Linked DNA regions of Caenorhabditis elegans. The protein of the gene in region 1 interacts with the protein of each later gene in a pairwise test. Each region holds a gene or a part of one and is shown in the gene's direction. Other genes may lie near its edges.

Region 1 (7,881 bases):
ATATCAGTTTTCAGTAAGCTCAAAAAATGATAAAATTTACCAGTGACTCTTAAATGATAGTCCCTGTGAAACGCTGCTATGTGCTTCGAATGTTGATCCTCAATTGTTGATTCATACCTTTCAGGGAAAATATTTTGTGTGAAACGAAGTACCAACGCCGATTTTCCTGTAAAGTTTCTCAACGTGAATGTCCTTGTTTAAATAAAGTTGTTTTAATTTTTTCATTGCTTTGTTCAATTTTGCTCCCGGTATGTTTGATTTTCTACAAAAAAAAGTTGTCGTAAACGCTCACCAACATGAGGATATCCCATAACGGCCACTTTTCGATTCAGACTCTGACGATTTGATTGCAGCGAACTGCTCATCTTCACAAAAATGAGTATATTCTGAATATTGAATGATTGAGTTTTGATAGAAGTATAAAAAATTAATAAATAAAATAAAAAGGGAAAAGTAAAAAAATTATTTTTTTAAACACTCATCATTATTTTTAAATTCTCTATTAATATTTAACATGTAGAAACAAAGAAATGATGTACTTTTGCAATAATATGCGCTTTTTTCCTGATAAAACGAACTAAAAACCAACTGTAAATAGAGAATTGCAGGCGAGAGAGCGTGTGAAAATAAGAGACGGAGGCGCATGATACACTTCTTGGCAGCAAGCCAAACCCACCGTACCCAAGCAAACCTGCAGATCAAACTCGAGATCGATATTTCTGGCGCAAAACGGCCGCCAATTTGAGCCCTCCGCGTTGAAAGCGTTATTATCATTCGAAATTGGCATAGGTCTTATCAAGAATTATATTTTATGTTTGTACGGGCAGATATAATCTTTTTATCATCATTTTTGTTGTTCAATTAACCTCCGCAAACTTTTAAAAACTCAAAAACATTTTCCTCTGAAGTGTTTTCTTGTTTTCCCCGAATTTTGATGAGTCCTATTTTATTTATTTGTATCAATTTCAGTGAAACGAACCGTGTTTAAGTGTAGAATATGGGCGGACCAGAAAAAAACAGCACAGTACCACTGCCAAATAAGAAAAGGAAGAAGAAGACCAATAAGAAAAAGGTGAGCATTTTTCGGTTTCTGTTCAGAAGTTTTCCCTTTTTCTAAACACTTACACTTTCGAAAAATTAAAGCTCAGTCTGTTCTGACACTAAATCGAACCCAAAGAATACTCTTTTTTTCTAATGGCCTCTAGAGATTTGAAAACTTCAAACAGCTCTGTCGCATTCCCTTCATTTCACGCACTTCCGAGCTTACTCTCTTGGATGCGAGCCCTCCACTAATATATTCTCACATCAGTTTTAACTTAGATTTCTCCTTTGCCTCAAGTAAAATGAGAACGGCTTCATTATGAGCCAGTGGCAGCCGCTAATGACCCAGGGGTAGAGATAACCACTAATTTTCTTTTCTTACACTAGTTTTAAAACAAAACAAAGTGAAAATTTATGAGCATGCTTAGTATTTTGCATTCAATACATTGGCTATATCGCCGATTGAATGTGAGTTTAATAGAATTCTGCCATTAAGCTTTTTTAATCTTCATATTTCAGCCCACAGCACCAAACACGCCTACATCTCCTCAAGCGGGTGAGAAAAACGCAAATTTGAAAAATGGAACAGTTACAACAAACGGATCAAATCACGTGGAAAGGTGAGATTTTGAGTTTTTTTTTTTAATATGCTTTAATTACATCGCTGAAACCGGGACCAAAATGATTATAAGTTGTTTGGTGTAATCGTTGCATCGTCCTTTTCTCATGACAGCAACTGGTTGTCTTTTCACTTCGTCTCAAATGATCCCACCTTCGTGTGTCCGTCATCCATCCACCCATCCATCCATTCGTCCCTTCTTTTCTATCTTCTCTATTCCTTCACCTTGGCCTTTTCTCTCTGTCAGCTGTCTCCTCTTCGCGACCTGGCCGACAAGTTGAAGATTGAAACAAGGAAGAGAGACCCAGGATTTCCTCTATCTCTTGTTGGGCGCCGCAATCATTACATCACTATCACTTGAACACTCTTCCTTCTCACACCGATCGCGTTTTCTTCAAGTCGCTCCTCGCGCCTCGTTGGCCGCCGCCAATATTCTCGAGACACTTCTCGCGCCGCTGATCTTCCTTATCCCCCTTCCCACTCTCAAAGCGTCGCAACTCGCTTCTACGTGGTCGCTATTTCAAAAAAAATCGCCTGCTTTTGAATCCAGTTTTCTTCTGTCAGGCTGGCCGGTCGAGCAGTACATTCGCTCTCAGCTATCGATTACTCGGGTATAACAAATGATGTCGAAGCAGGCGGCTCCTTCAGCTTAACTGACGTTTTCCCCACTGTCATATTCATGTTTGTGGTTCTATTCTGTAGATGGCTCAATGGCTTCAGCCAGCATCGAGAACGACTTTATAAATTCGAAGATGAAGCCGTTCAGAGACGCCGCCGTTTTCGTGTTCATTCAGAGGAATCGGAAGAACTGAATGACCACGAATCGTATTCTGAAACTGATATTTGTACACAGCTTTTGGCATCATCTGCAGACGTAACCTGTCATATAAATGTTGATTTGGTCAACCAGAATCGATTTTATTTCTTTGTAAAGCAAAGAAATAAAAAAGAAAATTCGACCAATGAAGAAGAAGAAATCTCTTCCCAAGAAATAAATACGAGTACACAAAATGAAGAGACAGAAGTTAATTTAGTGTTCGCTAGTGCGGAAGATAATGGAGGCGTCGCGTCGAATTTCGATATATCAGACGCTCTAATGGTTACCTCTAACATTTCCGAAGTCAGTAAACTACCGGAAACGTTGTGCGAAGAGGGTGAAACTGTACAACAAAAAAGTGTTGTAAATGAGAATGATCATTCGAATGAGGACGATGAACAGTCGCTACAATCACAAGATGGTTCAAGATGCTCTGATGAAGACATGAACTCTTGCGTATCTGCCTCAGATGAAGAGGACGTTGAATCTCAAGATGATTCTTTTCATGTGAATGATGCTACCGAAGAATCAATTGATTCGGTAAGCTCTATTGAATCACAAGAAGCAGAAGAGTCAGCAACTGAAGATTTGGCGTCGTGTCATTCGAACGACGATAAAAATGAAAAAGATGTTCTTGTCGATGAGGACACATCCAAATACGATAACCTTCCGGTGGAAATGCGGTCAGCAAAAGAGGGTGAAGAGAGTGAAGGGACGATCGATTCTTCAGTCTCCTCGTCGACATCGTCTTCCTCAACGGGCGACGACGGGGACGACAGTGCTACCTCTTACGACTCAGAAGATATCGAAATTCAGATGTTCGAGTATGATCTGGGAACCGCATGCGCTTCAGCTTCTATTTCTATTCCTCGTCCATCTATAATTCCAAGAAATAACAAAAAGTAACATTTATTTTCCATTAACTAAATTAGTATTACTAATATCAATCAGAAACTGTCTTTTAATTTACATTTTTCAGGACCGAAGTCAATGCTAATGAAGAGCGTTTGGACGATTTAAGTGTGAGCCCCGGACGAAGTGATTCTCCTGGAGGCGGCGGTGGTGGACATTCAGATTCATTCCAAGATCCAATGGTGAGTTGATTTTTGCATTTCATTTTTTTGTATTTATACATATTTATTTTCAGGATCCTGGAGAACAACTTGGATCTGACGATGAAGAACAAGAAGATCCACGTGATTACAAACGAGGTGGATATCATCCAGTCAACATTGGTGATGTATTCAATGCGAGATATCATGTGATTCGTAAACTTGGATGGGGTCACTTTTCTACGGTTTGGCTGGCGTGGGACACTCAAGACAAACGATTTGTTGCCATGAAAATAGTGAAGTCAGCGGAGCATTACACGGAAGCGGCTCTTGATGAAATTAAGGTTAGTTTTGAAGTAACGTAGTGCTGAAACAATAGATTTTTATGCAACATTCTCTGAGACTCGAGAAAAAAAAATTAAGACTAATATAAAACGAGAATAATTTCAGTTGTTGCTATCCGTACGAAGTGCTGATCCAAATGACATCGGATGCCACAAGGTTGTTCAATTGCTCGATGAATTCACTGTTACGGGAATTAATGGTCAGCACGTTGCTATGGTGTTTGAAGTTCTTGGGTGCAATCTGTTAAAGCTGATTATACGCTCAAATTATCGAGGACTTCATCTGGAACAAGTTAGGAAAATATGCAGACAAGTTCTGGAGGCGTTAGGATATATGCATGAAAAGTGCGGCATCATTCATACTGATATTAAACCTGAAAATGTGCTAATCACGATGAGCCGAGAAGAGATCAAGGTATTTTTTAAAAACCATTAATTGTGGAATTAATTTTTCAAAATTTTACAGATTATGGCTCAACATGCTGTAGTTGCCCGGAAGATGAATATGAAAATGAGTGGATCGGCTGTCAGTACTGCACCGGATCATTTGGTGAAAATGGCTCAGGAGAATATGACGAAAAACAAGAAGAAAAAGATGAAGAAGAAGGCCAAAAAACAACGAGAGAAGTTGGAAGCGGAATTGGCTGGACTCGAAGGCCTCAAAATGGACGCTAATGGGCTGCAGGAGGCATACAATAATGCACCGGTAAGTTGAACACTATACCGTTCTTCTTCTAATAGTATTGCACCCCAATACTTGAATTTTTAAATTTGAAAGAATATATCTCTGTTCATTTCAAAGATATCATTTCACATTTTAATTTTGAAACGATAGAAAAAGAAATAAAAAAGTATTTTCTTAGTTGACAAACATTGGAAAAGTTTCGATGTGCAATAATAATAGAGGAAATACGCTGGTAATTTTTAAAAAATCAAGATTATACTCTATCAATCATAATTTTTTAAAAAACGAAACAAAAACGATAAAACTGATATATAGCAAAATGGTGTCCGAATGCGTCCTCCATCTTTGCTCTTCAATGGTCCGATTCCCCAACTGCTTCAAGGCAGTTCTTGTGTGAATACGCCATCGTCTCCAAGAACGGTTCCACCGCCACCACCATCTCTCTATCCACAGGTTGGATGCGTCTGCAATCAGACGTATCATCTGACACAGGTGATCCTGAATGCGAATGTTGGTGTGAGTGTTTGGTTGTGTTGACATGATGATGGTTCCCTTCTACTCTCTCTTCCTCGATTCACACACTTATTTCCACTCTGCAACCAAAATTACCGGAAGACGCTTGTATATTCACACGTACCTCATTTCTCCTTCCGTTTCTTTATTTTAAAATTCACTGACTATTTAGTTTCGGTTTTTTTTGCCGCTGCGCCCTGGATGCCGTCTGCATTTTTTCGTCGTTTCGTCTTTGTTGCAGAAAATACATCAGTGCTGTATCTAATTTTTATCATATATAAGCTTAAACATGTTGTGAATTCAGTTTAGAAAAAAATCTGAATCAATTAATTTAATTTTTATTTTTTCAGGAGTTGGAGAACTTCAACGCTTCACAAGTGGAAGATGTCACCATGGAAGATACTGTCAATGAAAATGGAAACAGAAACAAGGTATGATATATTTCATTTTTGTAGCCACAACCATTTATATTTTCAGGTGGAAATCAGGAGCCCTGATCGTTTCGATAGAACCACGCTGACTCCATTCAGTGATCCGGAGAGCAAGTTTGGAGATTTGGCCTCACCATCCGCCGAATATCTGAGCTCGCCCATGAGCCAGTTGCCTCCAGGTGGTATCCTGCCTGCTCCTCCAGTTGGCCCCAACATTGGTGATCCATATTGTGACATCGACGTCAAAATCGCTGATCTCGGAAACGCGTGTTGGGTGAATCATCACTACACGGACGATATTCAAACTCGTCAGTATAGAGCACTTGAAGTGTTGATCGGTTCAGGATACGGACCTCCAGCTGATATTTGGAGTACCGCGTGTATGGCTTTTGAATTGGCAACCGGTGACTATTTGTTTGAACCACACCAAGGAGATAACTATTCACGCGATGAAGATCATCTTGCGCACATTTCCGAACTTCTTGGAGCAATTCCACCGTCAATTTACAAAAAGGGTAAACATTGGAGAGAGTTCTTCCACAAAAATGGACACTTACTTCACATTCACCAACTTAAACCATGGTCACTATACGAGGTTTTGAGACAAAAATACGAGTGGTCTCATGAAGACGCGCAGCAGTTTGAAAGTTTCCTTCGTCCGATGCTTGATTTCGATCAGGAGAAACGATCTACGGCCAAAATTGCATTGAAACATCCGTTCTTGTTACCATTTGGAGGAAGAGCGCCAAAATCTGATTGTCCACCTGAGGTTTTATATTAATTGTCTGTTCAATATTTTCTCTATAATTTTTACAGCTTCTGAGCAAGATGTTTCCGGATGGATTGATTCCCGAGCCGTTCGACGGAAATGAGCATCAGGAAGTTTACCGTGACGAAAATGATAGTAGATCGGCGAGGTTCGTAAGCTCGGACCGACGCGGATGTAAACGCAAATTGCAGCGAGAGGAGTGCCAATAGCAGGTCTGCGGGCGGCAGCGACGACGACGACGAGGAGGAGTTCAACATGAATCGACCTGGTCCATCGGGGGTGATAACAAACAATGAAACGACCGACATTTCTGACATTGAACGCTTTCAGCTGGATTTGCAGTAGTGCACGAATCCCTCCTGTTTGTTAACACTTCCATCACCGTCTCGTCACTCTTCAACGCCCTCTTGCACATCTCCCGAGTTAAACATGTTCTCCTGTCAATTTGACGATATTCATCTTTATGTTTTTCCTTTTTTCAATCAAATTTTACTCGTTTCTTGCCTACGATAGGTGAAAAGAAAACACTTCGGGCTAATTTTTTTTTTCAGCATTTTCCAATCTTTTGTTCCAGAGTGTTTACTTTTATGTTTTGAATCTAGACAGTGTTTAACTTATTGTTTCGGATTTCAACAATCATCCGACTACTTCATCTCCCCATTCTCCCTGTCACTTTCTACATCGAATCACCGCATCCTTTCTCTTTTTTACCACCGTTCTTCCTGAAGTGACTGAGCAGTAAGCACGTTTAGCGCCACTCTCGTGCGCGTCTCGTTGAAGCGCCTTTTGATCTTTAGTGCTACTGGTATAATATAATTATTTTGTACGAACATCGTCCTTATCCTCTGCCCAACAACATCATATGCTTCTATCAGCCTCAAACAGTAGATCATCTTTTCCCCCCATTTCTTTTTCATTTATATTCCTCCGTCTGTTCACATACCCAAACTATTTGGCATAAACCTTTCTCAAATCTTTACTGTGCTTCATTGCTTCCTTTCCCCTTCTCTCTCTCTCATTATCTCGGTTTCCTCGTAGACATAAATGATTGAATTTTGTAACGTTAGCGAGATAAAAAATAATTGATTCATGTGGGTGGTCGTCGAGAGATCGTAACAAAAGAACAACAAAACAAAGCGGGAGAAAATAAAAACCTGTTAAAGGATACGATAATAAACATCATATAAAAACTTGAATTGAATTTTTCACGCCAGGACGTATGTCATGTTAATTCCTGATGGTCCGATTGAGGTCTGATCCAGATATCCATGATTTTCATGTTTCACAAAATGAATAAATTGAGCGATAGCACGGAAGAGATTGGGTGATTGACGGAGAACGTTGCACTTAATTGCATATCCATTTTCATCAATGTGCACAAATTCAGCGTGTGGAGGAGATTTTGTAACCTGAAAAAACATTTCTTGAAGTGAGGAGGAACAAGAGTGAATTATTATAAGCCATACCATGTGAAGATAGAAACTGAATGGAGTACGTTGAGCAGATGATGGTTTTTGAGCATTTTTGACACAGAATCGGCTGGTGAATGGCTGGTCAAGGCTGAAAATTGATTTAATTTTTAACACAATTTATTGAATTAAACGTTAAAA
Region 2 (7,341 bases), on another chromosome or scaffold:
GGGTCAAAAAGTTTTAAAAAAATACACAGTTTCGCTGTAAGACCCAACAATAAAAGTCGTGCGCCTTTAAAAATTTATTCTAATCGATGTGAGACCTAATGCCAAGCGGTCATGTGCCTTTAAACTTCATACGGTATTGTTTTTTTGTTTTTCAAACATTTTCTTATGTATTAATCAATTTCCTGAGCAATGCTTATCATTTATTCAATTTTTTCATTATTTCTTGTTAAATAATCTTCTCAAATCGCTGTAAAAATCGTATATAATTTTTTTCATATTGCGTTTTCAGGGCTCATGAACCTATTAAAAATTTTAAGAACTTTTCAAAACTTTCCTTACTTCTACTACAAATCGGCATTGACGAAAAAATGCGCGCAAAGCCTCAAAAACCAAGAAAAACCACAAGAAGACCCAAAAAATATTTGCATAAGCATAAATATCGCCCCGCTTCGCACAAAAAACGTGTCAGTATTGGTGCCCGGCCGGCGCGCCAATATTCTCTTCGTTCTCTTGCTCTTCTCGTTCAGATTCATGTTCGTTCCTTCGGAAAATGACATTTATATTTTTATTCAAAAAATAATCCATCGAAATTATTTAGGTTGAAGCAAATTTTATTGCGAAACGAACTAGACAAAACATAACTTGTCAATCGATCCCCTTCACGAAATGCTCATTAGAACTATCTTTTATACTTTATATTGAACAGTTAAAAAATTTCTGCAATCAAAAGAAAATCCGTGTCATGTGTCTATTTCAGTTTCAAAGAGCGCTGAGTCCATATGCTGAGCTTATACTCCTTTTAATATAAAATAATCTCTCTGGATACGTTGTCAATCACCTAATAGTGTTTTTCAAATATTTAGTTTTTGACATCTTATTTGAAAGGATACTTTTTTTAAAAACAAAATTCCAGAAAATTTATCCTCAAAATATTAATATTTAAAAATCAGTAAGCAATTAATTTTTGGAATATATTTTTATCACAGCACTTTGTAAATTTTCCAGAATATTTTGTTTCGTTAAGCTAAATCAGGTCGAGTTTTGTTGTTTCCGAGAATGTTTCGCCTATAAAATAATCCAATAGATCAAGGCAGAAGAACCATGCCACGTGTCATTTCTTATCTATGTTCTCCTTTTTCTTCCCATTTCTCTTGCATTTCTCTCAACAAAATGTGCGTATCGGTATTGGAGGCCAAACACGAACCCTCACACCTCCCGCGCGTATTCGCCCATTTACCCTCTTTTTCTCACTGTCTCTCTTCTCGACACACTATCTTTCAATTTCTTGTTGCCTCTCAAATACATCGCTCCATTTTTTATTCGGATAAATTCAGATTTCTTGTTTTTTTGATTTTAGTAATCGATGAAATTTGAAATTAGTTTAATGCGGAACTTGATATTTTGTTTTTCACAAAAATAATTAATGAATGTAAACAGCGCGAAAAAGTGACAAAATGCAACCAAGATTTTAAAATTTTCTGAAAACTTCAAAATTGCTTTGAGATTTTATTAGAATCGTCATATTTTTCTTTCAAATTTCAACGTGCTAAAAAAAAATTGAAAATCAATTAATTTCAGCATCCACAAATGGAAGGTCCGCTCTCAAAATGGACCAATATGGTTCATGGATGGCAATATCGGTGGTTTAAAATAGAAAATGACACTCTTTTATACTACACATCACGCGAAAAAATGCTCAAAGGGCAACAAAGAGGTAAAGAGATACTGGTTTCTTCGAAAAATCTTTTAAAAATATATTTCCAGGTCAAATTCGTCTTACCGGTGCTGTGGTGGGTATAGATGGTGAGAATAATAGTTTATTCACAATCACAGTCGAAGGAAAAACGTTTCACATGCAAGGCCGAGATCTTCGAGAACGAAATCAATGGGTTCGAATTCTTGAAAATTCGATTCGTGCGAGTAGTGGATACGCAAAAAATGTATCCGTCGGTACTACTCCATCTCAACATTTTAAACAACGAACTGAAGAAGCAAATGAATTTTTAAAAACTCTAGTGGAAAAAGTGAAAGCACTGGAACAATTGAAAAGTGGAGAACGAGCTGTAGATGAAAAGAAAACAATTGATTCATTGATTGCGGCGAGCAATAATTTGACGAATAATGTGAAACATGCTATTATCTATCTTCAGGTTTGTAATTTTTCATTTAATGTTAAAATTGTATATCTGATAATAGTATTGTAAACTCCCAATATTTTGAGATGCCGTCGCAAAAAATTTATGGCAGTTAAAAAAAAATTGAAACTGCTTTCTCATTTAAGTTCCCTGCATCTTGTCGGTTTCTATTCATTACTTTAAATCCCCCCAAAACAGCGTTTTATTGGAAAAAGTTCAATTCAAAACAAGTTTTAACAGGAAAAGTAAGAAGAAACCGACAAAATTCGATAGAAGAATATAATGTCCTTGAAAAAAAATAAGCCAAAACTTTTTTTTGCAAAGCTTCCATTTAAATAATGCGTGCGTCTTTACGAAGATCTTTCAAAATCTTGCGAAGTTACGAATATTGTGAGCATAATGCCGGAAATTTAGATTTTTCGAAAAAAAAGCCATAAAAGGAGAAGATTTTCCTACTTTTTTCCTGAGAATACTCAACTTAACTAAAAAATTAAAAATCACATAAGCATCACGTCATACAAAAAAGAGCTTCTAACAAAATCTCAAATTTCAGATGGCTCAAGCTCGTCTCGATCCGAATATGAAGACTGAAAAGTTGATGTTCACACATCCGGATTTGAATGAAAAGGTAATTTTTTGAAATATTGGAATTCTATTTCAAAAATTAAACCTTTTCAAAAAAAAAACTGTAATCGGTAAAAGTAGCATAGAAAAACGAGGTTATTTCTAATTTCAGTTTAAATTAAAAATTGTAAACTTATTTTTGCACTTTTAAAAATAAAAACTTATTTTAAATTCCAAATGAACTCTTATTCTTCAGTCATTTATCACTTTTTCAAAAAAGTTGACTCAAAGTAACCAAAAGTTGGCTGTTATTGACAATTAATCACTTGACAGAGTATTGAATGACGTCATTTCTAATTTCAACTCAATTTTTTTAAACTAATCATTAGCATTTCTCAGGAGAAAGTTGCGTACGGATGAAATACCTTGTTTTTTTTTAAATTTATAAATTAAAATAAGTTTAAATTAAATAAATTACATAATTTCAAAGTCTGCGACTATCTCATCACTAAATTGTCAAATATCTTTTATTGGGAAATCACAGATCAAATTGATCACAATGCGCATTGTCAAGTGACATAGACAATTTTAATGTGTTATGAAGTATGTGTAATCATTAATATTTTCAATTTTTTCCATTACTAACAAATATCTATGTCTCGAAGTTTTTTTTTTCCATTAAAAATTAATTGATATTTATTAAGAAAAATCAACAATCAGAATTCGTTCTCGACTACAAATTATGATAACAAGAACGTTCTTTTGATTTCTTATTCTTTTGCAACAATCGAGAATTTCTGATTTATTACCCTTGACTGGGGTCCAACCACCATGTCGAATTACACCTTTTTCTAAAAATTTTCGTCATTTCATCACGTGATATTCTATATACGTGATGATATAGTTTGACTTTAGAAATCACATTATTTTGAAAATAGTCTTTTTTTGTTTTTTACGCTGAAATTTTGGAGATAGGAAATTCAAAATTCACGATTACTATAAGATTAAAACAATTTCCGCACCATTCGCTTCTAAAAACGTTTTTATTGGTTTTTGTTTTATTGTTTCACATTCAAAAATTTCTCAAATTGTTCCCCCTTCTTTTTTCAAAGCGGAGGTCTTTTTCTCCCCCCACGTTTTCCTTTTTTGTAGTTATGATGTGAGACTGATGCTACAGAGCACATAGATCTAAAGAGACGCAGAATGAACAAGAAACCCCACTGACAGTCACGGCTAGGAAATATTCGTGTCAGGATTATTTCGAAGTTTGAATTGGGTTTGATATATTTTTTTCATAAGTTTTAAAAATTATTAAGTTCTCATATAGAAGATTGACGAGGTATGGGGAATATATTTAAATATCTCCAAAATTTATTTCTTAAAACTGAAAATTTATTAAAATATACACGTTTTGATGACTAGTTTGACTAATTTTAATATATAGGCAAACGTGAAAATTATAATTAATTAAAAAAAAAAGTAAATGTGAAAAATATTCATTTCCTAGTAGTTTTGAACAAAGAGTGACTCTTTCTCGTTCTTATCAAAAAGTTCAAAAGCAAATGTGCATAACGAAAAAACGTATACAGCCGTCGTCACGTGAAACTCCTGGAACAGTTTCTGATTCAACACAGACAAGCACTGACAAACCGATTTCTGGAATTCAACATCTCGATCATTTGAAACCACAACGGGCCGAGTCGTATGCGAGGTGGGTTTTTTGATATTTTAAAAATTTCTAACGTGTTCCTCCAATTCACTCGTATCTGAGAATGCTATTTGAACCAAATTGAATTTTTGTTTTTTCGGGAGCGCCCGGATATGTGTTTCGCTCCAACTAGTGCCAATGTCCTTATTGTCAACTTTTTTTTCTTGCAGCAGTGACGAAGAAGAGTTCTACGACGCTGACGAGGAACTGATCGACTTGGATAATTTTGAAAGTGAGAAGAGTGGACAAGAATCAGGAGATTCTAATAGAACTAGTGACGCTGCAATTATGTCATCGGTGGGTTTATAAAAATGAAGAATACGAGCTAAATCGTTATTTTATTATTTAAAATTGAAATAAATTGTTTTCAGGATGAAGATGGATACGATTTTGGTGACTCGAATGAAGATTTCGATGAGATTTATAACAATGCTGAAGAGCACGACATTGGAAATGTTCAACAGGATCATGGATCCGTTCTTATGCATCTTCTGAGTCAAGTGAGCGTTGGAATGGATTTGACGAAAGTAACTCTTCCGACATTTATTTTGGAACGTCGTTCACTTCTTGAAATGTATGCCGATTTCTTCGCCCATCCGGATCTTTTCATTGCAACCAATGGAAATGATTCGGCAGAAAAGAGAATGATGTAAGTTTCGGAAATTATTCAAAAATCTAGAAAATTGGTCTCCAATCAGGAAACTTATTTATAATTTTTCAGCGCAGTCGTTCGTTACTATCTCAACTCTTTCTATGCTGCACGAAAAAGTGGAGTTGCCAAGAAACCATACAATGCTATTCTCGGAGAAACTTTCCGTTGTAGATACAGTGTCCCCAACTCGTCATTGAGCGGAAAAAAGACTGAAAGTGGTCCATGGCCAGGTTCTGATGAAAAACAATTGACTTTCATTGCTGAGCAGGTATTAATTATTTTCATTTTGAATAGAGGATGAAATCAAAAGTCGAAAAATCAAAAAATTGAAAAAAAAATATTCAGAAAATGAACAATAATATTCCATTTTTTAAAAATCATTTTGTTTTATGTTGATGAAAAAACATTTATAAAAAATGTCTTCTATTTAAAAAGAGAAAAATGACCAAAATTGCAACATATTTTATCGAAAAATCGATTTTTTTTCTCGAAATATTGGAAAACCGCAGAATTTTTGATTTTTCGATTTCAGGGAAAATCGAAAAACCGTGCCCTTGTCTTGAATCAAGATATTTTAGAAAATTCCTGTAATTCACGCAATTAAATATTTCAGGTCAGTCATCATCCACCAATTTCGGCATTCTACGCTGAAATGCCATCCGAAGGGATTTCATTTAATGCTCATATCTACACAAAATCATCCTTCCTTGGTCTCTCAATTGGTGTTGCAAGCATTGGAGAAGGTATTCTAACACTTCATAACTATGGTGATGAGCAATACACAATCACATTCCCATCTGGATACGGACGATCCATTATGAGTACTCCATGGTTCGAATTTGGTGGAAAAGTGAAGGTTGAATGTGAAAAGACTGGATATCGTGCTGATATTGAGTTCCTCACCAAACCGTTCTTTGGTGGTAAACCGCATCGAATTCAAGGATCAATTTGTCGTGATGGTGCCAAGAAACCGGTATTGACGCTTCGTGGAGAATGGAATGGAACAATGTATGCAAAAACACAAAATGGAGAAGAATATGTATTTGTTGATGTCAAAGCAAAACCTGAAGTTAAGAAAGAATGTGTTCCTGTTATGCAACAAGGGAAACGGGAGAGCAGAAGGTTAGAAGAAAACATTTTCATCCTGACAGAAAATTTGAAAAGTTCTGACATTTTTTTCAGATTGTGGAGACATGTGACAGCAGCTTTGCTCAGAAATCGTATTCAAACTGCCACTACATCGAAAAGATTCATCGAGCAGAGACAACGGAAAGAAGCGAAGGTATTTATTATATTCTCAGTTTCGACAACATAACATTCTAATTCTTTCAGGAACGCCTCGAAAGTGGTGAAAAGTGGACGCCGCTTCTTTTCGACACAACTGACAAGGACGGTGAATGGATGTATAAGCAGAAGTTCGGTGTCAGAAAAGCAGTTTGAGTGTCCACCATATTTGTGCTAAATAGATTTGAATTTGTGTGTAATACGAGTATAATTGCCTAAATTAGTTCAGTTTTGAACTCCATCTTGTGTGGTTTTTCCTGCATCCAGCTCCACTCTCAGTTTCTCTGTGCTCATTTCCCCAATCATTTTTTCTTGCTCCACCCGCCCCTTCAACTTCTCCCAATTTTTCTTGTGCTATTGAAATGTGTGTACTTATTCTCATAAATTGAGCAGCAAGAAGTGAGCATGAGCTTTGATATTCTAACTCGGTGATCAGATGTAAAACGATTATGGATTTATTTATAGATAAAATTTTGCAAACGATTAACTCAAAGTTCCACTTTATTCGTGATTTGTCCCCTTTTATTAACATATTTGATCTCCGTCGTGTACTTTCGAATTTCCTTTTTAAATCTTTTCTCCATATTTTCCTCAGGTGAGAAGCTCATCACGTCGACCACAGAAGCTAGTTTTCTGGAAATTAATTTATTTTGATTATTGAGTGATTCACACACGGAAACCATACGTTGAAGCCTTTCCACCAAGTGAAGCAACATCTTCGTGACGAGAAAAACTTCTTTCCTCCAAATCTTGCTCATCGGCAAATTTAATAACTTCCATTGTTTGAGGCATAAATGCAATTGTATCACGACGCTCATTCAGTTTGTCATTTGCGGTATTTTCGTGCATATACTGGAAAAAAGAAAGAACCAAAATCTAAAACCTAGATTTTAAATATGAAGTACCTCCAAAATGTCCAAGGTGGTAATTTTCTCTTTTTCTGGATATCGTTTTCTTATTTCTTCAATTATTTTCAACAATTCTTTCACTTGAACATC
Region 3 (7,852 bases), on another chromosome or scaffold:
ATAAATGACCGCTGAAACTTGTCGGCCCCTACCACTATTCCTCGTCCCTCGTGAGGAAAAAGTTGCAGTGTTTTTCGGTTAAAAACCTCGAATTTCCGAGATTTGTCGATTTTCTTCGGAAAAACTATGTACTTTAACAAATTTACAGGGATTTTTTTGGAAAATTTCTGGAATTTTCCAACTTTCTCGCAAAAAATTTAAAATTATCGATTTTTTGATAATTTATCTATCAAATCAAGTGGCAGAAAGGAGAAAAACAATAAAAAGGGCAGTCCGCACGTGCAGAATTGAAGAGAAAGAGGACCTCAGCCAGGGTGAGAGAGTGTAGAGGGTGTGGAGACGCAGACACTGAAAGAAGGGGGTTCAGAGATGTGGAGAGTGCAGAGATGTTGGTGTGATGAAGACTTGGCAGTGTGCCAAATGATATTTTTTATGGAATATGATGCAATTGTGCTCTGTTGATAATTTTTGGGGTGGCAGGATTCTTTTGGGGGAAATTATTGATTTTTTTTTTCTTTAAATTTGATTTTTCTATAAAAAAAATTGGATTTTCTATAAGAATTTAGATAAATAATAGTTTTCTTATATTTGCTTTAATGATTTTTCGGCACAAATAACAGATTTTTTCAAAAAAAAATTTTTTTTTACTTTTTGGGGATTTTTATCGGAAATTTGAAAAAAACTGAAACTTACGATTTTGATGCTTCTTGAAACTATTATTTTTCGAAACTTTTTTCAAAAAAATTCTGGAAATTATTGATTTTTGTCCTAAAAATTTTTAAAACCCCGAAATTCTATCGAAAAATAATTCAACATTTTTAGATTTTGCGTGAAAACTCTGTTAGAATATCGACTTTTCTGTCAATTTTCAATTTTTTTCCGCAAAAACTGCCAGAATTTCCTCAAATAGTTCATTTTCGATTGAATTTCCAAATTAATCCGAAAAATCGATAATTTTTTGATTTTTAACTGGATTTTTCGATAGAAACGTTAACTTTGCTGACTTTCTAAAATTTTTACAAAAAAAAACATTTTAAAAAACGTTGGAAAACACATAAAATTCGAGTTTTTCGGCTGGAAATTGGGGAAAACACAAAAAAAAACAAAATGTTCTACAGTAACCTTGAAACTGCGCGTCGGGTTAGATGCATTGATACGCAATTGCGTACAATGCATTTTACTTGCCGCGCACACTTTTTGGAATTATTTTCAGCAAAAATTGCAATTTTTCAAGTATTTCAGCGAAGAAATTGAAAAAAATAAGATAATTGCAAAAATACAAGCGGGTTTTAAAGTTTTCTTTTTAAAAATCTCAAGTTTCTCAATAAAAATATAGAAAACATGTTTTAAAACAGGAATAAGCGAAAAACTATTATAATTTATTGATTTTCGCCTCCAAATCACGCTAGAAAATCAAACTGATGATCATGACAGAAAGAAATGATCGTAAAAATTGCGCTGACGACGTCACGCGACCCGCAATAAGACACACGGAGGCTAAGCACAAAATATAATGTGTTTTTTTTTCATTTGAATCTTTTTTTCAGACTTCAAAGTACGGCGTGTTGATATTGATGATCAGAAGAAAAAATCAAAACAGAAGAAAAAACAAGGACAATATAATTAAGAAAGTTGTTTTTCAGAACTTTGATCTTTTAATCTGTGTTGAAAGGTTCCCTGAGTTGTTTTTGATTTAAAATCTTAAAAAGTAGAACTAGAAATTGTTATTTTTATCAAATTATCAACAATTTCCCATTCGAATTCTCCAGGTTTCCATCAATTATTATTTTCTCGTGATTAAATCCACGTTCCTTGGCGCACGAGAAACACGCCAGCTATCGTTTGCTGGCGCGTTTCTCGTGTTGACGCGTTTCTCGATCGTTCCAACTTGCAATTTTTAAATTCAATTTTTGCCGAAATTCACTCAATTTTTAGCGATTTTTTTCGAAATTTCTAGATTTTCAGCTGAAAAATGACCACGGTCCGCCAGAGAATCGATACACAACATCGTGACGCAATTGTAAGTCGGAAAATCTGAATTTTAGCTAAGAAAATCTATTTTTTTTTTTTAAATTCTGAAAAATTGCAGCACGACGCTCAGCTCAACATCTACGGAAGCCGACTCGCCACGTGTGGATCTGACCGTCTTGTGAAGATTTTTGAGGTCAGGAAAGGCGAAAAATCTTGGATTTTCTGCAAAAATCCCAGAATTTTCATAATTTCAACGCAAAAAAAAATATAAAAATATTACAGGTTCGCCCAAATGGCCAGTCATATCCGATGGCGGAGCTTGTCGGACACAGTGGTCCCGTTTGGAAAGTCTCATGGGCTCATCCGAAATATGGAGGACTTCTTGCCTCCGCTTCCTATGATAAGTACGGAATATTTGGAAAAAAAAACGGAAAAATGATCAAAATTTGCTAGATTCGATCAGAATTTCATAAAAATACGCTAAAATCTCTGTTTTTAATCGGTTTTCAGCTCATTTTTTGGGTTTTTTGCCAAAAATTGGTTAAACAGAGTGATTTTGGAAGAAAATGGACACAAATATTGAAAAATGCAGCCTATTTCTGAAATTTCAATGAGTTTGATCATTTTTCACCGATTTTACGCTATTTTCCCTTTAAATTCACGGATTATTTAAAGAAAAATCAGTATTTTCGGTCAATTTTCACAGTTTTTTTTTGAATTTCAAGCCTAATTTCCCTCAAATCCACCAAAATTTTAAAAACTTCAACGGGTTTTATGAAATTTTTACCGATTTTCTGCAATTTTTTCCCGAATTTTAGTCGATTTCTGCCCCGATTTTTGTAATTTTTATCGATTTTATTCAATTTTCATAGTTTTTTTTTCGGAATTTTGAGCCAATTTACCCCCCAATCCAACGTTTTTTTCTGGAATTTCCATGAATTTCAGTAGTTTTTCACGGGTTTTTTGCAATTTTTAGCTCATTTTGCTCTAATTTCAGGCATTTTTCATCAATTTTCACAGATTTTCAGCCAATTTTCCCCCAAATGAATCGATTTTCTTTCCAGAAAAGTGATAATCTGGAACGAACAACAAGGCCGCTGGCAAAAAGCCTACGAATGGGCCGCTCATGAGGCCAGTACGACTTGTGTGGCCTTTGCACCACACCAATATGGCCTAATGTTGGCTTCTGCCTCTGCTGACGGTGATATCGGTATTCTTCGATACGACAATTCGAGCAACGAATGGATTTCGTCGAAAATTCAGAAATGTCATGAACAAGGAGTTAATTCAGTGTGTTGGGCACCTGGAAGTGCTGATCCGGCGGCAAAAAAACGTCTTGTTTCAGCTGGAAATGATAAAAATGTCAAGATTTGGGCTTTGTGAGTAGAGAAAATGCACTGAAAATCGATTTTTTAGATTTTTTAGATTTTTTTTGACCCGAAAAACGTGAAATTTTGACGTTTTTTCGATGGAAAATACAAAAACCGCAATTTTCTCAGGTTCTCAAAAGTCAGATTTTTTGTAAGCCTAAGCCTAAGCTTAAGCCTACGCCTACGCCTAGGCCTAAGCCTCAAATTGCCAAAACTTCTCGGAAAAAAAGTCGTAAAATTTTACTTTTTTTTCAGCAAAATTGGCAGATTTTATGAAATTTTCCCAAAAAAGTTGTATTTTTGATCCAAAATTTGTTTAAAAATCACAAATTAGTGCAGTTCTTACCGGAAATTTTTGAAAAATTCAAATTTTTCCCTCAAAATTACCTGATTTTTTGCTAAAATCACAAGAATTTCTGAGATTTTTCCCCTGAAAAAGTCAGTTTTTCTGGGATGAAAAAATTCGCAAAATAAAAATTAAATTCGGATTTTTTTTAAGGCCTAAGCCTTAGCCTAAGCCTGAATTCCAGAATTAAAAAAAATTTCCTTCTGAAAAATCAATGAAAAAATTGTTTTTTTTTCTGAAATTCTCAAAATTTACAATGTTAAAGTTAAAAATTCGACCCAATAGCGTATTTTTTCACCGAAAATTCTCAAATTTCTTAAATTTTCACCTGAAAAATCCCATTATTTTGCCAGTGACGACGCGAAAAACGAGAAAAAATGGAAATTTTTCGCCAAAGTTCCAGATTTTTCTAGAGTTTCCTTTGAAAAATCCTTTTTTTTGACAATTTTTCCGTGAAATAACCCATTTTTTCACAGTTTTCCATCAAAAAAGACTAAAAATCCGACCATTTAATAAATTTCTTTCTAAAAAATTGTAAAAGTAAAAGCGAATTCTACCCGAATTTCAGATTATCGTGTTAAATTCAAAATTTCCAGGTTTTGGATATTTTTTAACAGATATTTGTCGAATTTCCTGGATTTTCCCCCTGAAACATCCAATTTTTCGGTTTTTTGATTAAAAAAAAACTGAAAAAATCACTCAAAAAATAATTTAAACTTGAAAATTTGTCCCAAAAGCTGTTTTTTTTGCAAAAAATTCTCAAATTCCAGATTTTTCGCAGTTTCATTTCAAAAAACCCCCAAAATCGGAAATTTTTATTAATCTTTTTTGCTGAAAAATCAGAAAAAAAGTATATTCTTTCGAAATTTTTGTCGAATTTCCTGAATTTCCTCTTGAAAAATCCATTTTTTGACAATTTTTCCGCGAAATTACCCATTTTTTTACAGTGACGACGCGCTACAAACAAAATTGTTGGTGAAAATTCGAAAAAAAAAAAAAAATTTCCCCATTATAATGCAGAAATTTGGGTTCGCTTTGGAAAATCCCAATTTTGAAGCTGCCCAAAAGCTGATTTCCCACTGAATTTTGTCGAATTTATTGGGGTTTCTCACTGCAACTTTTTCCTCACGAGGGACGAGGAAAAGTGGTTTCTAGGCCATGGCCGAGGGGCCGACAAGTTTCAGCGGCCATTTATCTTGCTTTGTTTTCCGCCTGTTTTCTTTTGTTTTTCATCGATTTTTTTCGTTTTTTCTTATTAAAACTGATAAATAAATATTTTTTGCAGATGCTAAAACGATTTCCAAGTAAAAAAAAAATGTATTCAGTGGGCAAGCAGCGGTGAAAGTGGGCAATGTAAAATGATGGATTACGGGAATACAAAACCTAAACTTTTTCTGAAACATGATACATATGATGCTTAGATGCTGAAATTACCTGATTTTCATAACGAGACCGTTAAAAAAGTTTTGAGGTTTTCAAAATTCAATTTTTTGTGCGAAAATCTCGACTTTTTTACCAAAAAAGTTGAATTGTGGAAACCTCAAAACTTTTTCAGCGGACTCGTTATGAAAATCAGGTAGTCTCAGCATTTAAGCAGCATATGTATCATGTTTCAGAAAAAGTTTAGGTTTTGTATTCCCGTAATCCATCATTTTACATTGCCCACTTTCACCGCTGCTTGCCCACTGGATACATAATTTTTTAACTTGGAAATTGTTTTAGCATCTGCAAAAAATATTTATTTATCAGTTTTAATAAGAAAAAACGGGAAAAAGCTGTGAAAAACAAAAGAAAACACGCGGAAAACAAAGCAAGATAAATGGCCGCTGAAACTTGTCGGCCCCTCGGCCATGGCCTAGAAACCACTTTTCCTCGTCCCTCGTGAGGAAAAAGTTGCAGTGTTATTGGGGTTTCCTAAGAAAAATTCATTTTCTTAATGACAATTTTCCTTCGAAATCACCAATATTTTTTCCTCCAGTGACGACGCTACAAACGAATGGATTCTCGAGAAAACCCTAGCCGGACACACAGATTTTGTACGTGAAGCCGCATGGTGCCCGGTAACAAATAATGGACAACATACAATTGTTAGCTGTGGAATGGAGGGAAATTTGGTACTTTTCCGTACTTCAAATATTGAAACTGAAGAGTGGAAGGCGAAATTATTGGAGACGGCTCCGTGTGCATTGTACCATTCATCATTTTCTCCGTGTGGATCATTCCTTTCAGTTGCTGGCGATGATAATGTGGTATGGAATCGAGGATTTTTGTGTGGAATAATGTGGAAATTGGCACCGAAATTGGGAAAATTATGGATTTTTTACGTCAAAAATGGCACAATTTTTGAAAAAAAAAAGTGTACAAAAACAGCGAAAATCATCGCTTCAAAAACGGAAAATTGTCACATTTTTAGCAAAAATCGCTGAAATTTTGGATTTTTTAGCTCAAAATTATGATTTTTCGAGCAAAACCTAGAAAATTCGAAAAAATTTGGAAAAAATAGCGAAAAAAAAAAGCATTTTGGCATTAAAAAAAACGGAAAAAAATCTTACCTACCTCTAGCCGCAGTAGGCATGAGGCAGGTGGCAGGTTTTTGTGAGGAAAATTTTGATTTTTTTTTTTTTTTTTTTTTTGGTTTTAATACAACTTCTATCTTTTTTGCCCGGTTTTTCGTAATTTTAGGAAGAATTTTTCAGAATTTTCGTTGAAATTCGATTTTTTCAGGTGATTTTGATCGAAAAATGCTAAAAATATTAATTTTCGAGCAAAACCTGGAAAATTCAAAATTTTGGAAAAAAAAATCTATTGAGAACTGGCAAAAAAGTGGGAAAACAAAAAATTTTTTTTACCGGAAAATTGGCCAAAATCACTTCAAAATCAATTTTTTTTACATAAAAACCGGCGAATTTCGGTTGAAAAGTATCGATTTTTGAGCAGCACATGAAAATTTCAATTTTTATGAAAAATTTGAGAAAAAGCTACCGAAAACTTGCAAAAAAAGCATTTTGGCACGAAAAATCTGAATAAATGGAAAAAAAATACTCAAAAATTCAGAATTTGCAGTAATTTTACTGAAAATGGCGAAAAATTCGAATTTTCCGATCAAATCACCGGAATTAATTGAATTTCAACGAAAATTCTGAAAAATTCGACCTAGAATTACGAAAAACCAGACGAAATGTTCCCGCCTGCCTAATGCCTACACGTGTGCCTACCGTGCCTACAGGTAGGTAGGCAAATCTTCTTAAAAAAGTGCCGTTTCTACAAAAAAAAGCATATGATAAGCTCTGTTTGCAGGCAGGCAGGCACCTACGCCTAAAAACGCTCATTTTCCAATTTTGCAGATCACAATTTGGCGCGAAAATCTTCAGGGACAATGGATCAAAGTGCCACGTGACAATAAGGAACGCGAGGGAATGAGCCAAGCGGTCGGAGCTCCGGGAGCTCAGAGATAAATAAATTATTTATTTTTTTTCGCTGTTTCTACACCCATAATTCCTCTTAAAACTTGTATATGTACCTGTTATTATTGATTTTTTTCCTCATTTACTTCTCCGAATCCAGATATTTTATGATTTTCCTTCTTTTTCTCTCTCAAAAAACTAATGCGAAACCGGGATGAAGTTTTATTTATTTATTGATTTTTTTCGACTAAATTCAGATTTTCTCTTATTTTTGAAAAATTGGTCGCAGTAGCGCAGTCGGTTACGGGCTGGGCTGGGACGCAGAAGACCGGGGTTCGACTCCGCGTGGTGGGAATTTTCTTTATCTTAGCGTGATTGATACTGTTAACAAGCTGAAACTGAGTATAACCTGCTGGAAACTAGTGAAACTTGAAAAAAATCAGTTTTTTTTCGGAAAAATGCGGAACAGTTTTTGAAAACATGATTTTTACAAATTTCCATGCACATGTTCAAATTTCTCGCACAATTTTCGTTTATTTGACACCAATATTGGCTCATTTCCGAGGATTTTTCGAAAAATTGGTTGCAGTAGCGCAGGCGGCAACGGGCTGGGCTGGGACGCAGAAGACCGGGGTTCGACCCCGCGTGCTGGGAATAATTTTTTTCTTGGTTGATACTATTATCTAGCGGAAGTTGACCGAAATTTGTTAGAAATTAGAAATAATCTCGAATAGTTTGGGTTTTGTGTCATTTTTTTGCGG
Region 4 (4,050 bases), on another chromosome or scaffold:
GAAAAAATATTCGTTTAGTGTTCGGTTTTGTGATGTACGTAAATACCAATAGAAAAAAAACAATTTTTAATTCTTTCGCCTTGATCCAAACTTCCTATCAATCTTTATTTTTTAACATAATTATTTTATATGAACTAACTTTTTTTTTCAGCAAAAAAATGTCTGAAAAGCACAGTCTTCTGCAAGTGACTCCAAATCGTGAACTCGTGTTCACTGGCCCATTCAGTGATGTTGTCACATCACACATGACTCTCAAGAACACATCAACCAATCCAGTGTGCTTCAAAGTGAAAACAACGGCTCCAAAGCAATATTGTGTTCGTCCAAATTCTGGTGAGTGATGGATTTATTTGCATTGAAATCAATTTGATATGGAAAAAGTGAAATTAAACGCAAAAAGAAAAATATGATTTGTATTTAGACCTTATCTGTTAGACTGGTTGATTTTTAAAACTGAAGTTTACTTTGACCTTCTGATTTTGATTTTTTAGGCCTCCTGAAATCTGGTGACTCGAAACAAATCACAGTAATGCTTCAACCTCTGGAAGGAATTCCATCTGATGCAGGACGACATAAGTTTATGGTTCAATCGTGTGTGGCGCCTTCGGAAGATCTGCCAGATTTGGAATCGGTCTGGAAAATAATCGATCCAGCGGAGCTGACCTACAGCAAGCTTATGGTCACCTTCGTTGACAAGAGAGATCCAGCGTCTGGAGATGATACAAAAACCTTTGCGGTTAGGAACGAGGATAGTTTTGCTTCTTCTGGACAGGCACAGTGAGTTTTTACTTATAATGGAGGTTAAAAGAAGGTTAACAATTATTGTTTCCTTCATAAACTTCATTCAATAAAAAACTAATATTTGCAGAGAGCTCGGAAGTTCGTACTCTGGAACACCATCGCATGATGGAACCGTTAACTCCCTTCGCAAATCGTTGAAATCGACAGTTGACGAGAAAGAAGAATTGCAAAAGAAAGTACATGGATTGGAACAAGAAATCGAAGTCATGCTCAAGGTAATATCAGAAAAGAAATTTGAAAAAATTAATTACACTTTGGAAAAAAAAATATGTGTTCAATTTTCTACAAAAAATATTTTCAGAAGAACCGCAAGCTTCAACAATCGCATTCTGATGGAGCTCTTGTCGACGGTGCATACCCAACATTGCAAATTTTCCTTATTGCGGTTGCCGCTTTGCTCATCGGGCTTATTGTTGGCCGTCTTTTCTAAATTCTGAATCAATTCTTCCTTCATTTTCACTTTTAAGTAACTAGTGGTACTATCATTCACGTGCTTTTTTGCTGCCACAAACATTAAAACACACAAGCATTGCTCCATTCGGATTTTCATCAAATTTAACCTTCAAATCCTAAATTTTCTAACTTTTTCTCTGCCAAGGGCGAAATTCTGAATATTTCAAAAATCAAAATGTTATTTTCTGCAATGTAAATTGACATATTTAACTTTTCGGTTTTTTGAAATTTTGAATACTTGCCTCTTTAGTGAACGCAGCGCGCAAAAATTTCAAACTTTTTCTCAAACTACTTTCACTTCTTTCCTTTGTTTATTCGTTTTCCGTTTTTCCCGGCGTCTTCTAGACCATCATAGATCCGTCTAGTGACTGCCTATCATCATACCCGGTAGCCATTATCAAGAATTTTATTTATTTATTTTCCATTCTATGGTTCCCCGTTCCCCCAACCTTTTCTCATTTATTTTATGTGTACAACCATTGATTGATATAGGACTCCATGGATTTTAAGAAAGCCCCATGCTCTTTGAAACAACCAATTTAAGTCACATGATTTGTATATGGTACAATAAAATTTGATGTTTATGGTTTCCAATAACTATTTTTATTTTTGAATTTTTTCGCCGTATTATCTCGGAGTATTTACCTGGAAATTTACGCGACTCGACAATAAAATGTCACTCGAGTGATGTTTAAAATTAATCTTTTTTCAGATTTTCCAAAATGGCTGGTAAAAAAGCAGAAAAAGATGATATGGCAACAGTGGAATTCGAATCTTCTGAAGAAGTAAATGTTATTCCAACATTTGACAAAATGGGTTTGCGAGAAGACCTTCTTCGTGGAATTTATGCCTATGGATTCGAAAAACCATCGGCTATTCAACAAAGAGCAGTTCCAGCAATTCTTAAAGCACGTGACGTCATTGCTCAAGCTCAATCTGGAACCGGAAAGACTGCGACTTTTTCAATTTCCGTTCTTCAATCATTGGATACACAAGTTCGAGAGACACAAGCACTTATTCTTTCTCCAACCAGAGAATTGGCTGTCCAGATTCAAAAAGTATGGATATAATAAATACAGAGTTGCAATAAAAAACACATTTTGCAGGTAGTTCTTGCTCTCGGAGACTATATGAATGTTCAATGTCATGCCTGTATCGGAGGAACAAATCTCGGAGAAGACATTCGCAAATTGGATTACGGTCAACACGTGGTTTCTGGTACTCCAGGACGAGTATTTGATATGATTCGCCGTCGTAATCTTCGTACCCGAGCGATCAAGCTTCTGGTTCTTGACGAAGCCGATGAAATGCTGAATAAAGGTTTCAAGGAGCAGTTGTACGATATCTACCGATATCTTCCACCTGGAGCACAAGTCGTACTTCTGTCAGCCACACTGCCTCATGAAATTCTAGAGATGACCAGTAAATTCATGACAGATCCTATCAGAATTCTTGTGAAACGTGATGAACTGACACTTGAAGGAATCAAGCAATTCTTCGTTGCAGTTGACAGAGAAGAATGGAAGTTCGACACTCTTATTGATCTTTATGATACTCTTACCATCACACAGGCTGTACTATTCTGTAATACCCGTAGAAAGGTTGATTGGTTGACGGATAAAATGAAGGAAGCCAACTTCACAGTGTCATCAATGCACGGAGATATGGAACAGAAGGATCGTGATGAAGTTATGAAAGAGTTCAGAGCAGGAACAACGAGAGTGCTCATTTCAACTGATGTTTGGGCGAGAGGATTAGATGTTCCACAAGTCTCGTTGGTAAGATTTTTTTTTAGTTTCTTCTCGATTTGTAATAAATTAAAATGATTAGTTTTGCAAAAAACCAGCAAAAAAAAGTTGTCATGAAATATAGACAATTCAGTAAAAACTTTTTTCAGGTTATCAACTATGATCTTCCAAACAATCGTGAATTATACATTCATCGTATTGGTCGTTCTGGACGTTTCGGACGCAAGGGAGTCGCCATCAACTTTGTGAAGCAAGATGATGTCAGAATTCTGCGAGACATTGAGCAATACTATTCGACACAAATCGACGAAATGCCCATGAATATTGCGGATATCATTTGAAGAAAGATATATTTTCGCTCACCTCATGTTTTAATTTATTTTGTTTTTGTTTTCTTTGTTTTGAAAATCCTTATCAATTATTTCTTTTATTTTAATCCTACAAAGATCTCCTTTGAATCCTTCATGATACTAAGACCCAAATACTATCCAACGGAGATTTTTAAAAATCTGAACAGTAATTTGAATAAATGGAGATCTTAATTTTCTTTTCAATATTTTTATGTAAGCCAGTAGAAACTTCTCTAATATTCAAAAATATCGGAAAATAACCAATTTCTAATTTTCGGCGTGATATTCACGTGAATTTATACTAACAAAAAAAACATTTCAGAAAAAAATCAACTCTACGAAGGCTTCACGTGGAATATCATTGCATTGTGGGTTTTTAAATATTAAATTTTTCTTTTATTATTTTATGTTTGATTTTTAGGAAGTTTCAGCCTCTTTAAATTGAGAATTACTTACTCAGAGACCACTCGCTTTTTGAACACACGATTGGTATTCTAAATTCCTATCTGAAACGGAAATTTTTGAATTCAGACGATGCATCATTTTCCTCTATCTTAGACACAAAAACTCAAATACAACAACCCGCCGTCTCGTAGCTTTTGCCTTTCTCGTCAACTAAAAACCGAACGCACTCGTCTTGTCTCCCACTCTATCGTCATCAAAACGGAGTAAGAAAAGTAACAAGAGACTGTGTTGAA

The links.
Region 2: the proteins of spk-1 (region 1) and obr-4 interact in a two-hybrid assay, tested with the Caenorhabditis elegans proteins (one large-scale study listed by BioGRID).
Region 3: the proteins of spk-1 (region 1) and npp-20 interact in a two-hybrid assay, tested with the Caenorhabditis elegans proteins (one large-scale study listed by BioGRID).
Region 4: the proteins of spk-1 (region 1) and F33D11.10 interact in a two-hybrid assay, tested with the Caenorhabditis elegans proteins (one large-scale study listed by BioGRID).

Annotation. Positions count from the first base shown.
Region 1 is NC_003281.10:9,455,645-9,463,525, forward strand, and holds spk-1 (Serine/threonine-protein kinase spk-1), read left to right. Parts: upstream 1-1,883; 5' UTR 1,884-2,339; coding exon 2,340-3,379; intron 3,380-3,456; coding exon 3,457-3,571; intron 3,572-3,624; coding exon 3,625-3,873; intron 3,874-3,979; coding exon 3,980-4,288; intron 4,289-4,339; coding exon 4,340-4,579; intron 4,580-4,873; coding exon of another isoform or gene 4,874-5,050; intron 5,051-5,421; coding exon 5,422-5,502; intron 5,503-5,548; coding exon 5,549-6,271; intron 6,272-6,318; coding exon 6,319-6,419; intron 6,420-6,462; coding exon 6,463-6,616; 3' UTR 6,617-7,363; downstream 7,364-7,881. Other genes in the region: rheb-1 (GTP-binding protein Rheb homolog 1), read right to left, coding at 41-166, 293-365; B0464.6 (uncharacterized protein), read right to left, coding at 7,477-7,680, 7,738-7,831. UniProt on the Caenorhabditis elegans protein: Required for embryogenesis and germline development in both adult hermaphrodites and males. SR-protein kinase (SRPK) that binds directly to and phosphorylates the RS domain of rsp-3/CeSF2 in vitro.
Region 2 is NC_003279.8:5,827,813-5,835,153, forward strand, and holds obr-4 (Oxysterol-binding protein), read left to right. Parts: upstream 1-1,578; 5' UTR 1,579-1,587; coding exon 1,588-1,714; intron 1,715-1,764; coding exon 1,765-2,150; intron 2,151-2,688; coding exon 2,689-2,763; intron 2,764-4,288; coding exon 4,289-4,410; intron 4,411-4,577; coding exon 4,578-4,704; intron 4,705-4,778; coding exon 4,779-5,056; intron 5,057-5,128; coding exon 5,129-5,327; intron 5,328-5,672; coding exon 5,673-6,181; intron 6,182-6,241; coding exon 6,242-6,341; intron 6,342-6,391; coding exon 6,392-6,499; 3' UTR 6,500-6,825; downstream 6,826-7,341. Other genes in the region: twk-47 (Potassium channel domain-containing protein), read right to left, coding at 6,832-6,976, 7,029-7,195, 7,249-7,341.
Region 3 is NC_003282.8:1,490,128-1,497,979, reverse strand, and holds npp-20 (Protein SEC13 homolog), read left to right. Parts: upstream 1-1,957; 5' UTR 1,958-1,972; coding exon 1,973-2,020; intron 2,021-2,089; coding exon 2,090-2,164; intron 2,165-2,253; coding exon 2,254-2,375; intron 2,376-3,035; coding exon 3,036-3,350; intron 3,351-5,665; coding exon 5,666-5,936; intron 5,937-7,031; coding exon 7,032-7,142; 3' UTR 7,143-7,327; downstream 7,328-7,852.
Region 4 is NC_003279.8:5,866,056-5,870,105, reverse strand, and holds F33D11.10 (RNA helicase), read left to right. Parts: upstream 1-1,966; 5' UTR 1,967-1,976; coding exon 1,977-2,312; intron 2,313-2,360; coding exon 2,361-3,032; intron 3,033-3,151; coding exon 3,152-3,343; 3' UTR 3,344-3,544; downstream 3,545-4,050. Other genes in the region: vpr-1 (Major sperm protein), read left to right, coding at 159-333, 492-777, 869-1,016, 1,103-1,231.